Linked DNA regions of Callithrix jacchus. The protein of the gene in region 1 interacts with the protein of each later gene in a pairwise test. Links are inferred from orthologs where the notes say so. Each region holds a gene or a part of one and is shown in the gene's direction. Other genes may lie near its edges. The genes, in order: PIN1, CCDC33 and GLI1.

Evidence for each region.
Region 2: the proteins of PIN1 (region 1) and CCDC33 interact in a two-hybrid assay, tested with the Homo sapiens proteins (2 studies listed by BioGRID). The two-hybrid records come from large-scale screens. The link is inferred for Callithrix jacchus from reciprocal best matches to the Homo sapiens genes PIN1 and CCDC33.
Region 3: the proteins of PIN1 (region 1) and GLI1 interact in binary tests that used the Homo sapiens proteins (3 or more experiments, as listed by UniProt). The link is inferred for Callithrix jacchus from reciprocal best matches to the Homo sapiens genes PIN1 and GLI1.

The regions. Positions count from the first base shown.
Region 1 is NC_133523.1:9,042,750-9,045,750, forward strand, and holds the end of PIN1 (peptidyl-prolyl cis-trans isomerase NIMA-interacting 1), read left to right. Parts: intron 1-859; coding exon 860-970; coding exon of another isoform or gene 971-995; intron 996-1,828; coding exon 1,829-1,938; 3' UTR 1,939-2,425; downstream 2,426-3,001. UniProt on the Homo sapiens protein: Peptidyl-prolyl cis/trans isomerase (PPIase) that binds to and isomerizes specific phosphorylated Ser/Thr-Pro (pSer/Thr-Pro) motifs.
Region 2 is NC_133509.1:21,172,909-21,176,555, forward strand, and holds part of CCDC33 (coiled-coil domain-containing protein 33), read left to right. Parts: intron 1-1,594; coding exon 1,595-1,760; intron 1,761-2,071; coding exon 2,072-2,160; intron 2,161-2,369; coding exon 2,370-2,501; intron 2,502-2,591; coding exon 2,592-2,685; intron 2,686-3,647.
Region 3 is NC_133510.1:62,231,854-62,235,600, reverse strand, and holds the start of GLI1 (zinc finger protein GLI1), read left to right. Parts: upstream 1-1,234; 5' UTR 1,235-1,541; intron 1,542-1,751; 5' UTR 1,752-1,897; intron 1,898-3,747. UniProt on the Homo sapiens protein: Acts as a transcriptional activator. Binds to the DNA consensus sequence 5'-GACCACCCA-3'. Regulates the transcription of specific genes during normal development.

The DNA.
Region 1 (3,001 bases):
TCAGCCTTCCCCACTTGGCTGTCAAAACGAGTCACTCAGATGCTACTGTGTTGCCATCTTGCCCCCTCTGCTGGCAGCCCTGTTCCTCCTTCCTCCACCAGCCCTGGCCTTCCCTTCCTCCTGGAGATTCAGACCTGATGGGCTGGTTTGGGCCACACAGGGAGGGGCCATCCTGAGTTCTGCCAGCATGCAGACTGTAGGTAGGAAGCTGGGAGAAGAGCTTTGTCGCCTGCCTCTGGGACCCTGGGACCCACAGTCTTCGAGTGTCCCTTGCAAAGCCCACCAGGGTGCCTCGGAGGCCTTTCCCAGTGCCAGGCTGTTCTTCCCAGATGGAACAGCATGGGAGGGCTGCTGTGGCAGTGTTGGGCCCTCCCTGGACAGCTCTCCTACCTCTGCCCAGAGGACCCCGGGGGCCCAGCCCCCTGCCTGGGTCAGCCTCTCCCTGCCTCCCACTCTGGCCTGTCCAGCTTGGATATAGATTTTCCCTCAAGTGTGTGTGTGTGTGTGTGTGTGTGTGCACGCGCGCGTGTGTGTGCACGCGCGCGTGCGTGCGTGCACATGGTGAGAGTGACAGCGGGAGCAGGGGTGTGAGACTCACAGGGTGGCAGGACTCATGGATGACTGGTGGGGTGCACCAAGTGCTGATGCACATGAAGGTGCATCTTCTTGGGTGAGGACAGGTGTGACTGGGTGCAAGTGTGTGTGAGGAGAAGGGTTGTGGGGCGCATGTGCACTTGTAGGGGGAGGTTTTCCAAGTGAAGTGCTGCCCCCCTCCCACCCAGCTCTGGAGCCCTCCATCCCGTTTGGTCAGGTGCCCCTGCCCCTGACCTGGCACTCCCATTCCATTCCATGTCTGCAGGCTACATCCAGAAGATCAAGTCAGGAGAGGAGGACTTTGAGTCTCTGGCCTCACAATTCAGCGACTGCAGCTCAGCCAAGGCCAGGGGAGACCTGGGCGCCTTCAGCAGAGGTGCGCAAGGAATGGGCTTCACCAGGTCTGGGGACCCTCTCCTCCCTAAGGGGTAGAGGCTGGGAGGGTCTGGGCACTGGGATCCGGGGTGCCACATGGCCCTTCAGGGTCCAGCAGGTGGCAGCACAGCCCCTTCCTCAGGCTTCAGAGTCTGCTCTGCTGGGCAGGGCGGGGGCCACACAGGGTGGGGGCTGCAGAGCTTTCTTCCTGGCATCGTCTCTATCCCGGGCCCACCAAGGCAGGTGCGTCCTGTCCTCTGCCTCTTCCTTTGGGGGTTTAAGGCTGGGTTCCCTGAGAATCCCAGGGAATGTTCCCCAGAATCCCTCTGGGTGGGGGGAGGTGGCCCTGAGTTTAGGCCTGTCTGGCCAGGACAGTGGAAATCAGGGGCAGAGAGGACCAAGCATCCTCCTTTTCCTTCTCAGGGTCTGCAAACAGGGAGAGGCCAGGCTGGGGTGTGGGGTGCATGCATCTGAGGGGGTTGGGGGTCCATAATGGGGCCAGCAGCTTCCCCCCTGCTCCGAGGAGGCTGGTGGGACAGATGACCTGGCAGGGCTGGGAACCAGGCCCAGGGAGATGAGTTCACTACCGAAGCGACCCCTAAACGCGCAGCAGCGGCTGCAGCCCTGCCTGCCATCCTTCATGCTGTCCTCGGGCTTCCTGGGGCCTCTTTAATGGCCCTGCCGCCCCCAGCTGGGCCACCACTCAGCACCGGCAATAAACATGGTGACGGATGAGTGTGGACGAGTGTGAGGCTCAGCGCAGTCAGGAGCCCCATCTATTGTGGCTGCCACCCGCCCTGCCTTATCCTGGCCTCTGACAACCCTGCCTTGACACCCCACCATCCCTCCCGGCTCCCAGGTCAGATGCAGAAGCCATTTGAAGATGCCTCATTTGCGCTGCGGACGGGAGAGATGAGCGGGCCCGTGTTCACGGATTCTGGCATCCACATCATTCTCCGCACAGAGTGAGGGTGGGGAGCCCAGGCCTGGCCTCTGGGTGGGGCAGGGCGGCTGGGCCCGCCAGCTCCCCCACTGCCTGCCGGCCAGTGGTCAAACCCCCTACTCCCTGCCACCGTCAAACAGTATTTATTGTTCCCAAAATGGCTGGGAGGGGGCCCTTCCAGATTGGGGGCCCTAGAGTCCCCACTCCCCGTCCATTCCCAGTTGGGGCTGCGACTGCCAGGCTCTCCCTTAAGGAATTGACTTCAGCAGGGGTGGAAGGTGCCCAGAACCAGGGCAGTGTGGTGGGAGGGGTGTTCCAAAGAGAAGGCCTGGTCAGCAGAGCCGCCCCGTGTCTTCCCCAGGTCCTGGAGGCAGACTCGAGGGCCGAGTTGTTTCTAGTTAGGCCACGCTCCTCTGTTCAGTTGCAAAAGCAAACACTCGTGCGGCCCAGCAGTGGGCCCTCTGAGCAACCGTGCAGTACCCTTTTACCCCAATTAAACACCTAGAACCACTACTCCGCTCTCTTATGTCTCATTTCTCTTTAGGGAAGCATAGGGGGCACCATGTCACTGGGAGGGGATCACAATCCCCCATCCTAAGGGTCCCAGCTATGCGTTTACCCTCAAGAGGCTCCCCCTTGCCCTGGGCCAGGGGGAGTCCCAGCAGCTGGCTCTCAGGGACGTGGGCACTGTTCAGCCACCCAGCACCCTGATACCTGCTTCCCTGGCATCTCAGGTGCTTCTGGAAGGTTCATGGGTCCAGCCCAGCACCCACTGCAGCTGTGGTTACCATGACAACAGGGCCCTCCGGGACTGGAGGGGGCTCCTGCAGGGAGGGGGATGGGAGCAGACACAGCTTCCAGTGCCTGAAGTGGGACAGGGGATCCTGGGGTGGGTGGTGAGGAGATGGGGTCCCCCACCAGTGTTGGGGCTGTGGGTGTGGCCTGCCTGATCCCCATCCCTGTTCAGTCAGCTGTGGGTCTGTTGGATGGAGAAGTGGTTATGCCTGCATACCCTACCCCCCCCTCACTTGATGAGGACCAGCCCAGATTGCAGGGGTGCCTGGCTGGCATTGCTTAGGGACCTGAGCA
Region 2 (3,647 bases), on another chromosome or scaffold:
GCTACTCAGTAGGCTGAGGCAGAGAATTGCTTGAATCCGGGAGGCGAAGGCTGTGGTGAACTGAGATCGCGCAGCTACACTCCAGCCTGTGTAACAGAGCAAGACTCTGTCTCAAAAAAAAACAAAAACAAAAACAAAAAAAAGCAAGAAAGAAACTCCCTTTATGAAACCTTTCATAAATAACAGTAGGGAATTTCTGATTATCACACAAATGCATATAAATATAGCCTATTAATTTTCCTATATATTTATACACAGGCAGGCATGAATTTTTCTCTCATTTGGGGATTGCACTGATAATTCTTGTTTGTAGCCTGCTTTTATCACTTCTCAACATATTGTGAAGCGTCCACGTCTGGAGTTCTCATGGCAGGATGGCACAGCTCTTCAGAACACAGGCTCGAGCCCCTGCAGGCCTGGATTTCACACCCTGGCTCTATCACTCATCACTTTTGTAACTGAGCAAGTGACTCAAGCCCTCTCTGCGCCCTGGTTTCCGCATTGGTAGAACGGGGATAATAGTGTCTATCCTCGAAGGGCTGATGAGAGGACTGACTGAGGGAGGGCACATAAAATGCTTAGAAGAAAGCCTGGAATACAGCGAATGCTCAGTCAGCATCAGACCTCAGGACTGCTGCTATTCCTGACCTCATGGCTGACTCCAGTCCCCCTGTCCCCACCTGATACCCCACATCCTGGAGCTGGATCCCAGCCTCCACCCTGAGTTCTAGCCTGGGTCTTCTGGGGCGACCTTGGGTCATCTTCTGACTACTGGGCTGGTTGGGGAGCTGGCACCCAGTCGCCTTCCAAGTGGCATCAGTGGGATTTCTGAGAGGTTTTTCCCTGGCTTATCAGTGACATGAGAAATGAGAGGAATTAGAAGGGTGGGGATGGAGGGCTGGGCACGGTGGCTCACGCTTGTAATCCCAGCACTTTGGGAGGCTGGGATCCACTGAGGATGGTGGATCATGAGGCCAGGAGTTCGAGACCAGCCTAGCCAACATGATGAAACCCTATTTCTACTAAAAATACAAAAAATTAGCTGGATGTGATGGCAAGTGCCTGTAATCACAGCTACTCAGGAGGCTGAGGCAGGAGAATTGCTTGAACAGGGGACAGAGGAGGTTGCAGTGAGCCGAGACTGTGCCACTGCACTCCACCCTGGGTGACAGAGCAAGAATCTCAATAAATAAATAAATAAGAAGGTGAGGAGGGAGGGGGGAAAAGGTGAAGAAACGGCTATGATTGAGCCGGATCTGGCAAACCTGGCCCTGGATCTTCTCAAGTCTCCATTGCCCACAGGCCTCCTCCCCTGTGTCCACACCTGGGGTTTCCCCCTGTGTTGGTATCACGGGACATGATATGCCCCCCCCCAGAGAGAACATTAATGTGGCTGCCCTCACATGGCCAGGATGGGTGAGGATCAAGTGATAACCACCCCTCCAGGGAGTTGCTAAGACTTAGGGCCATGGTGTGGGGCTCCTCCTGTTCACTGGCCTTGGTGGAGACCTGCTGACTTTCAAGTGTGGGTGTGGACATGGGACCAGGGTTGCTATGGGGCAGTGGGCTCAGCTCTGGGCTCTGGGATCCACAGGATACGAACTACTACCGGCGGGCCATGCAGAAGATGGCAGAGGACATCCTGTCACTGCGGAGACAGGCCAGCATCCTGGAAAGAGAGAACCGAATACTGAGGAGCCACCTGGCCCGGCAGGAGGAGGAAGATGGGCAGGGAAAAGCCAGTGAGGCCTGGCACACAGGTGAGGGTGTGCAGGCCACCATGGGCACCAGGGCATCTGCCTGGGCGCAGACTCCAGGTAGTGCAACAGGGAGGTGGGGAGCTTTTCCCAGACACACATGCTACTGGACTCTGGTGAATAGGAACCCCATGCCCACAGACACTCACACAGCCCCTGCCTAGCTGGGTCCTCTCAGGGATGGCAAATGGAGAATCCAGTCCTGTCCCAAGCCCTGGGCCCGAGGACTATGTGCCTTCCCACTACTGACCAGGCGGATTCGAGCTGAGAGAGGCTCCTTCCTCCCTGAGCTGGCTCACCTACTCACCCAACAGTGTCCGTGAAGCAGAAACTGCTGCTGAGTGAGCTGGATGTGAAGAAACTGAGGGACAGGGTGCAGCATTTGCAGAATGAGCTGATTCGAGTGAGCCGGGGCTTGTGGGGGGCAGAGGGGAGGGAGCTATGGTGGGGGCATCGGGATGAGAAGAGTCTGGGAGGAGAAGGGAAAACAGGCACACAGGGAATGGAGGCACAGAAGAGAGGGGGACCAGCCCAGTGGAGGACTTAGCAGAGGGGCCAAGGTGGGCTCCCAGGCACCCATTCTCTCCCCTTCCCTCCTCCCCCATCTCACAGAAGAATGATCAAGAGAAGGAGCTGCTCCACCTGTATCAGGCTCAGCAGCCACAGGCCGCACTGCTGAAGCAGTACCAGGGCAAGCTACAGAAGATGAAGGCGCTGGAGGAGACGGTGCGGCACCAGGAGAAGGCAAGTGCCAGAGGGGCTATCCCTGAGGCCCACCGATGTCAGCAGGGTAGGGAGCCCCTGGGCCAGCCCAGCCTCTGCTCTGCCCTTCAGGTGATCGAGAAGATGGAGCAGGTGCTGGAAGACAGGCTTCGGGACAGGAGCAAGCCCCCACCTCCAAACAGGCGGCCAGGAAAGCCTGACACAGGTGGGTCCATACCCTGATGTGATCAGCTCCCCGGCTTCTGCCCCACCCCTGGAGGCTTTGCTTTCCTGAAGCCTTTCAGCTTCAGGAGAATCTGCAAAAAGGGTCCCTGTACTCAGTTACATCTGTGGACCTGGGAGACCCAGGATTGCACTGCTCCCCTCCTCTTTCAGGAGCCTCATCCAGAGATCCCCTGAGCTCCTTCATTCCCTAGAAGCGCCTCAGAACACAGTTGGGATTCAGTGTGAGCCAGGCTAGATGGAGGTTGGACCTCCAGAGAGGGCCCTGCAGACTAGCACAGCAGAGAGGGACTTCCCCAGAAGGGCCACCTGGGGCAACGCCTCCCAGCTCCTAACCCCAGAATCCGTCGAATTATTTCATCTCCCCATGTCTCCAAAGATTCTGCCTCTGCAAAGCAAACAAGCAAAAATACTTAGATTAAATCAATGATTTGGGGCCAGGAGTGGTAGTTCATGCTTATAATCCCAGCACTTTGGGAGGCCGAGGTGGTCGGATCACTTGAGGTCAGCAGTTCGAGATCAGCCTGACCAACATGGTGAATCCCCATCTCTACTAAAAATGCAAAAATTAGCTGGCCATGGTATGAGTCTGTAGTCTCAGCTACTTGAGAGGCTGAGGCATGAGAATCGCTTGAGCCTGGGAGGCAGAGGTTGCAGTGAGCCAAGATTGCACCACTGCAGTCCAGCCTGGGTAACAGAGGGAGACTGTCTCAAAATAAACAAATAAATAAATGATTTGGGGGTTTTCTTCCCCATTGATATTAACCAAAAGCCACCTAAAACTGCCAATCAGGCTCGGATAAGCAGAAAGGACCAGGTGACACCTCTCAGGCCAGCCCAAAGCAAGGGACTTCCCTGAGCCTGCCTCTGCAACCTCACCAGAGCCCCTGTGTGCCCAGCCCTGTGTGTAGCCTTCACTGCTGAGGGTTTCAGGGGCAGGAGGGT
Region 3 (3,747 bases), on another chromosome or scaffold:
GAGGGGAAGGTGCTCCTTTTCTATCATGCTTTCTCCTCTTTCTCATAAAAATCAGAGACTGGAATGGTGCCCCTCCCCTATATCTGGTCATGATGGCAACGCAAATCTAAAGGGGCAGGGCACCACCCTGTGAGGCAGTACCGCTGGGCATAGCAACCTCTGACAGTGAGCCTCTCCGTTTCTTTGAGTTCACATATCCACACCTCCTGGGCTTTTTTTTTTTTTTTTTGAGACGGAGTTTCGCTCTTGTTACCCAGGCTGGAGTGCAATGGCGCGATCTCTGCTCACCGCAATCTCTGCCTCCTGGGTTCAAGCAACTCTCCTGCCTCAGCCTCCTGAGTAGCTGGGATTACAGGCCCGCGCCACCATGCCCAGCTAACTTTTTGTATTTTTAGTAGAGACGGGGTTTCACCATGTTGACCAGGATGGTCTCGATCTCTTGACCTCGTGATCCACCCGCCTCGGCCTTCCAAAGTGCTGGGATTACAGGCTTGAGCCACCGCGCCCGGCCCCTCCTGGGCTTTTAACTGAGCTTTAGTGAGGGGACCTGACCGATCTCCTCCTTCGGCTCTCCCACCTCTTCTGCCACGACTGCAAGCAGGTGTCATGTATGAGAACGGCCAGCAGAGGGAGCAGAAAGCCTTGAAGAGCGGCTAGAGCCCTCGGAGGCGAGGTGCGGAGGTGGCCGCAGTCTCGAACTTGCAGACGGAGAGCGGGGGTTCTCCAGAAAGGGGCTTCGGTCCCAGGGCTCACCCTACACCCAGAGCCTCAGCCGCTGCTCCTAGCTTTTGTGCTCCATAGACTCCTCATTTTCTGGCAGAGCCCCTAACCCCTCAATGATTTGCCCCAAACCCCAACTCTGTCCCAGCCTCTCCAAGTTCCATCCAAAGGGTAAGGCATGCCGATAAGCCACAGGATGTCAGAAGGCTCAGTTGGCACCAACCAAAGGCGACTACTTACCTCCACTATTATCCTTCTCAGTTGAACTTCTCCCCCTGTTCCGCAATATTTTCCTGAATTTGGTTTTCTGTCTCTGGGTCGGGACCTCTTTGGGGCCAGCCGATCCAGAAATCCATGCCGGGGTTTACTGCCCACCAACAGCAGAGTGTTGGGGGGGTTGGGGGGCGTAGGCAGTATAGGGTCCCTCAAGGGAGGGGGAGGATCCTGGGGGTCCTGGGGGTGCAATAAGCCCGGCACCCCCTCTCTTGCTTCCAGCTACCCCGCCTCATCCTCCAGAACGGCAGAGGGAGGGAAATAGGAGGGAGTTGAAGGGCGAGCGGGAAGAGCGGCGGCGCGCCAGCGGCTGGAGCGAGAAAAAGTTTTTGCAAAGGGAAAAAAAAGTTTGCGCTTCTCGCGGGTGGTCCGGGCTTGCGGCCCGGCGGGCTGGGCCGGCGGGAGGGCTGGGGGCCAGGTTGGGGGGGTGGGGGTGGCATTGAGGCTGCGCTGCCGTGGCCCTCTCCGCCCCCCCCTCCCCACCGCACACCCCCCAGCCCAGACTCCAGCCCTGGACCGCGCATCCTGAGCCCAGCGCCCAGACAGAGGTGAGAAGGGGGGGCAGGCGGGGGACCACCTGGGAGCAGTGGGGGAGGGGGCCTCAGGGGATGCTCAGCTTCCGAGGGACTCGTCCCAGACCCGGGGACACGGAGGCAAAATGGGGGTGGGAGAGCCTGGGGTGAGACATTAGAAACTCCAATTTTTTCACTTGTATCTTTCTCTGTATCTTCCTTTTCTTCCCTTTCTTCTTCTGTCAGTCTGTGTATCTCTGTCTCAGGCAACCGTGGGCCTTTGTCTCCGCCTCTCCCATATATTAGAAACATCTCACTTTCATGAGGTTGAGAGCTGAAGAGGCTGGAGGGATGGCCAGCTGGAGGTCTGCGTGGTAGAGAGGGAACTCCAGGTGTGTGTCTGCGCGTGGGGCAGGAAGACGTCAGTGTTTCTGAAAGGAGGGGACTGAAAAGGAGGGAGCTCCAGGTGGGGTGGGGACGGGTGTGTGGGAGGCAACAGAACCATTAGGGGCCAGCCGGGCTTGCACCCTTGACCTGTCTCGTGACAGATGTGCCAGTGGATGCTTGTGTTTGGGGGAAAGGAGTGTCTTCTGGACTAGGAAGGGGGCTTGGAGAGGCTGTCCAAGGTCTAGTGAAGGCCCTAGAATGACCCCAGGCAATTTTGGACTCCTGAGTCCCAAGGGCTGAGGGCAAGGCGCTCAGGATGAGCCAGGGAGACCTTGTCTTGACCCTCTGAACTCAGGACCACCGGGGCAGCGGGAGCCAGCCGCAGGGAGACCCCTACCGGGGCTGGGCGGGACCACTGGCCACTGTCAGCCAGTGTATCCCCATTGGTCCCCCGCCCAAACGGGAGCTGGGGACTGAGGCCCCTCCTCTGGCTCAGACCACCCTGCCTGCCCTTGCTCCCCGCTCTGAATCCTCTTTCAGGCCCCATGACCCCGAAACAATCAGCCCTGGGCAGCTAGCTTTGGGGACAGGATTAGGGAAAAGGGACCTGGTAGAGGCTGAGGACTGAGGGTTTTAGGGGTCTGGAGAGCTGGGGTCTTCTGGGATAGGTCTTTACGTCCCAGTAGAGGGAGAAGGCGGGGCGGTTTCCCGGGGGAGTTGTAAGGGTCGGAATAAGGGTGGTTTTCCCTGGGGGGCGGGGTCCAGAGACCTCTCCCCCTCACCGTTATCTCCCTGGCATCCCCGCCCTTGACGTCACCAGGGGGTTCCCGGGGGTCTGGAGGGGTTAACCCTTGGGAAGCCGGCTGCGATACCCAGGAACCTAAGGTGTCCCGGCTCCTCCTCCTCCCCGTACACACCTAATTTTATTGATCCAGTCACTTTCTCTCCTCCATACTTTCTGGATTCTTCTTTCTCATCCCACCTACGGGGACCCCCACTCTCCAGTAGTGCCCCCTAGGGCGCCACTGCCCGCTTTCCGGATGCGCTGAGAGGAGGAGGCAAGAATGTGTCCCGCCCCTTAGCCCCCACCCCTAAGGCTCGCTCGACTGGGCTCCCCGGGCGGGCGGGGGGAGCGGAGTAGTCTGCAGCCAGTGCCTGCGGCGGCGACTTGGGTGGGCCGAGGAGGAACGGGGGCGGGGAAGGCGGGACCGGGAGTAGGGAGGCGGAGCCGACTCCTGGGAGTTGGGGAGCGGGGGTGCGAGGGGGACTCTGGAAAACAGGGAGACGGCGAAGATGGTTTATGGCTCCGGCAGGGGAACCCTAGAGCTCCCTGTCCCATCCCAAATTCTCATACCCCAGAAAAACTTTATCGAAGCTAAAAAATTTGCCTTTTACTAGCCTGAAGGGGAGATGTGGGTGGGCTGTGGCACGCGTGGGTGTGGGCGAGGAGGGATGTCGCCCCATTTCCTTGGAGGCTCTTCGGTGGCTGGACAGTGGGGCAGAAAGATGACTGAGTAGGCAAGATTGGGGGAGTCTCTAGTGTTTGGGGAATCATTTGCCAGTCTGCCTTCTCGGTGAGTTAAAGAGGAAGAAGGCGGGAGAAGTGTCCCCCCCATCCAGCTGCCAGCCAGCTGTGCCCCCCGCCCCCAACATTAGTGCCGAGGTCGAGTTGGGAGGTCTTGGATGCGGCATCCGCATCTCGGCTGGAAAAAGAGTTAGGAAGGATACAGCCCTGGCTGCGGGGCTCGGGCTGGGTCTTGGGGTCCGGGTTCCGCTCCCCGTCTCACCCCGCCCTCACCCTAAATCCCAGCATCCCGGGATCACCCACCGCGCCGGCCGGCCCGGCCCGCTCCCG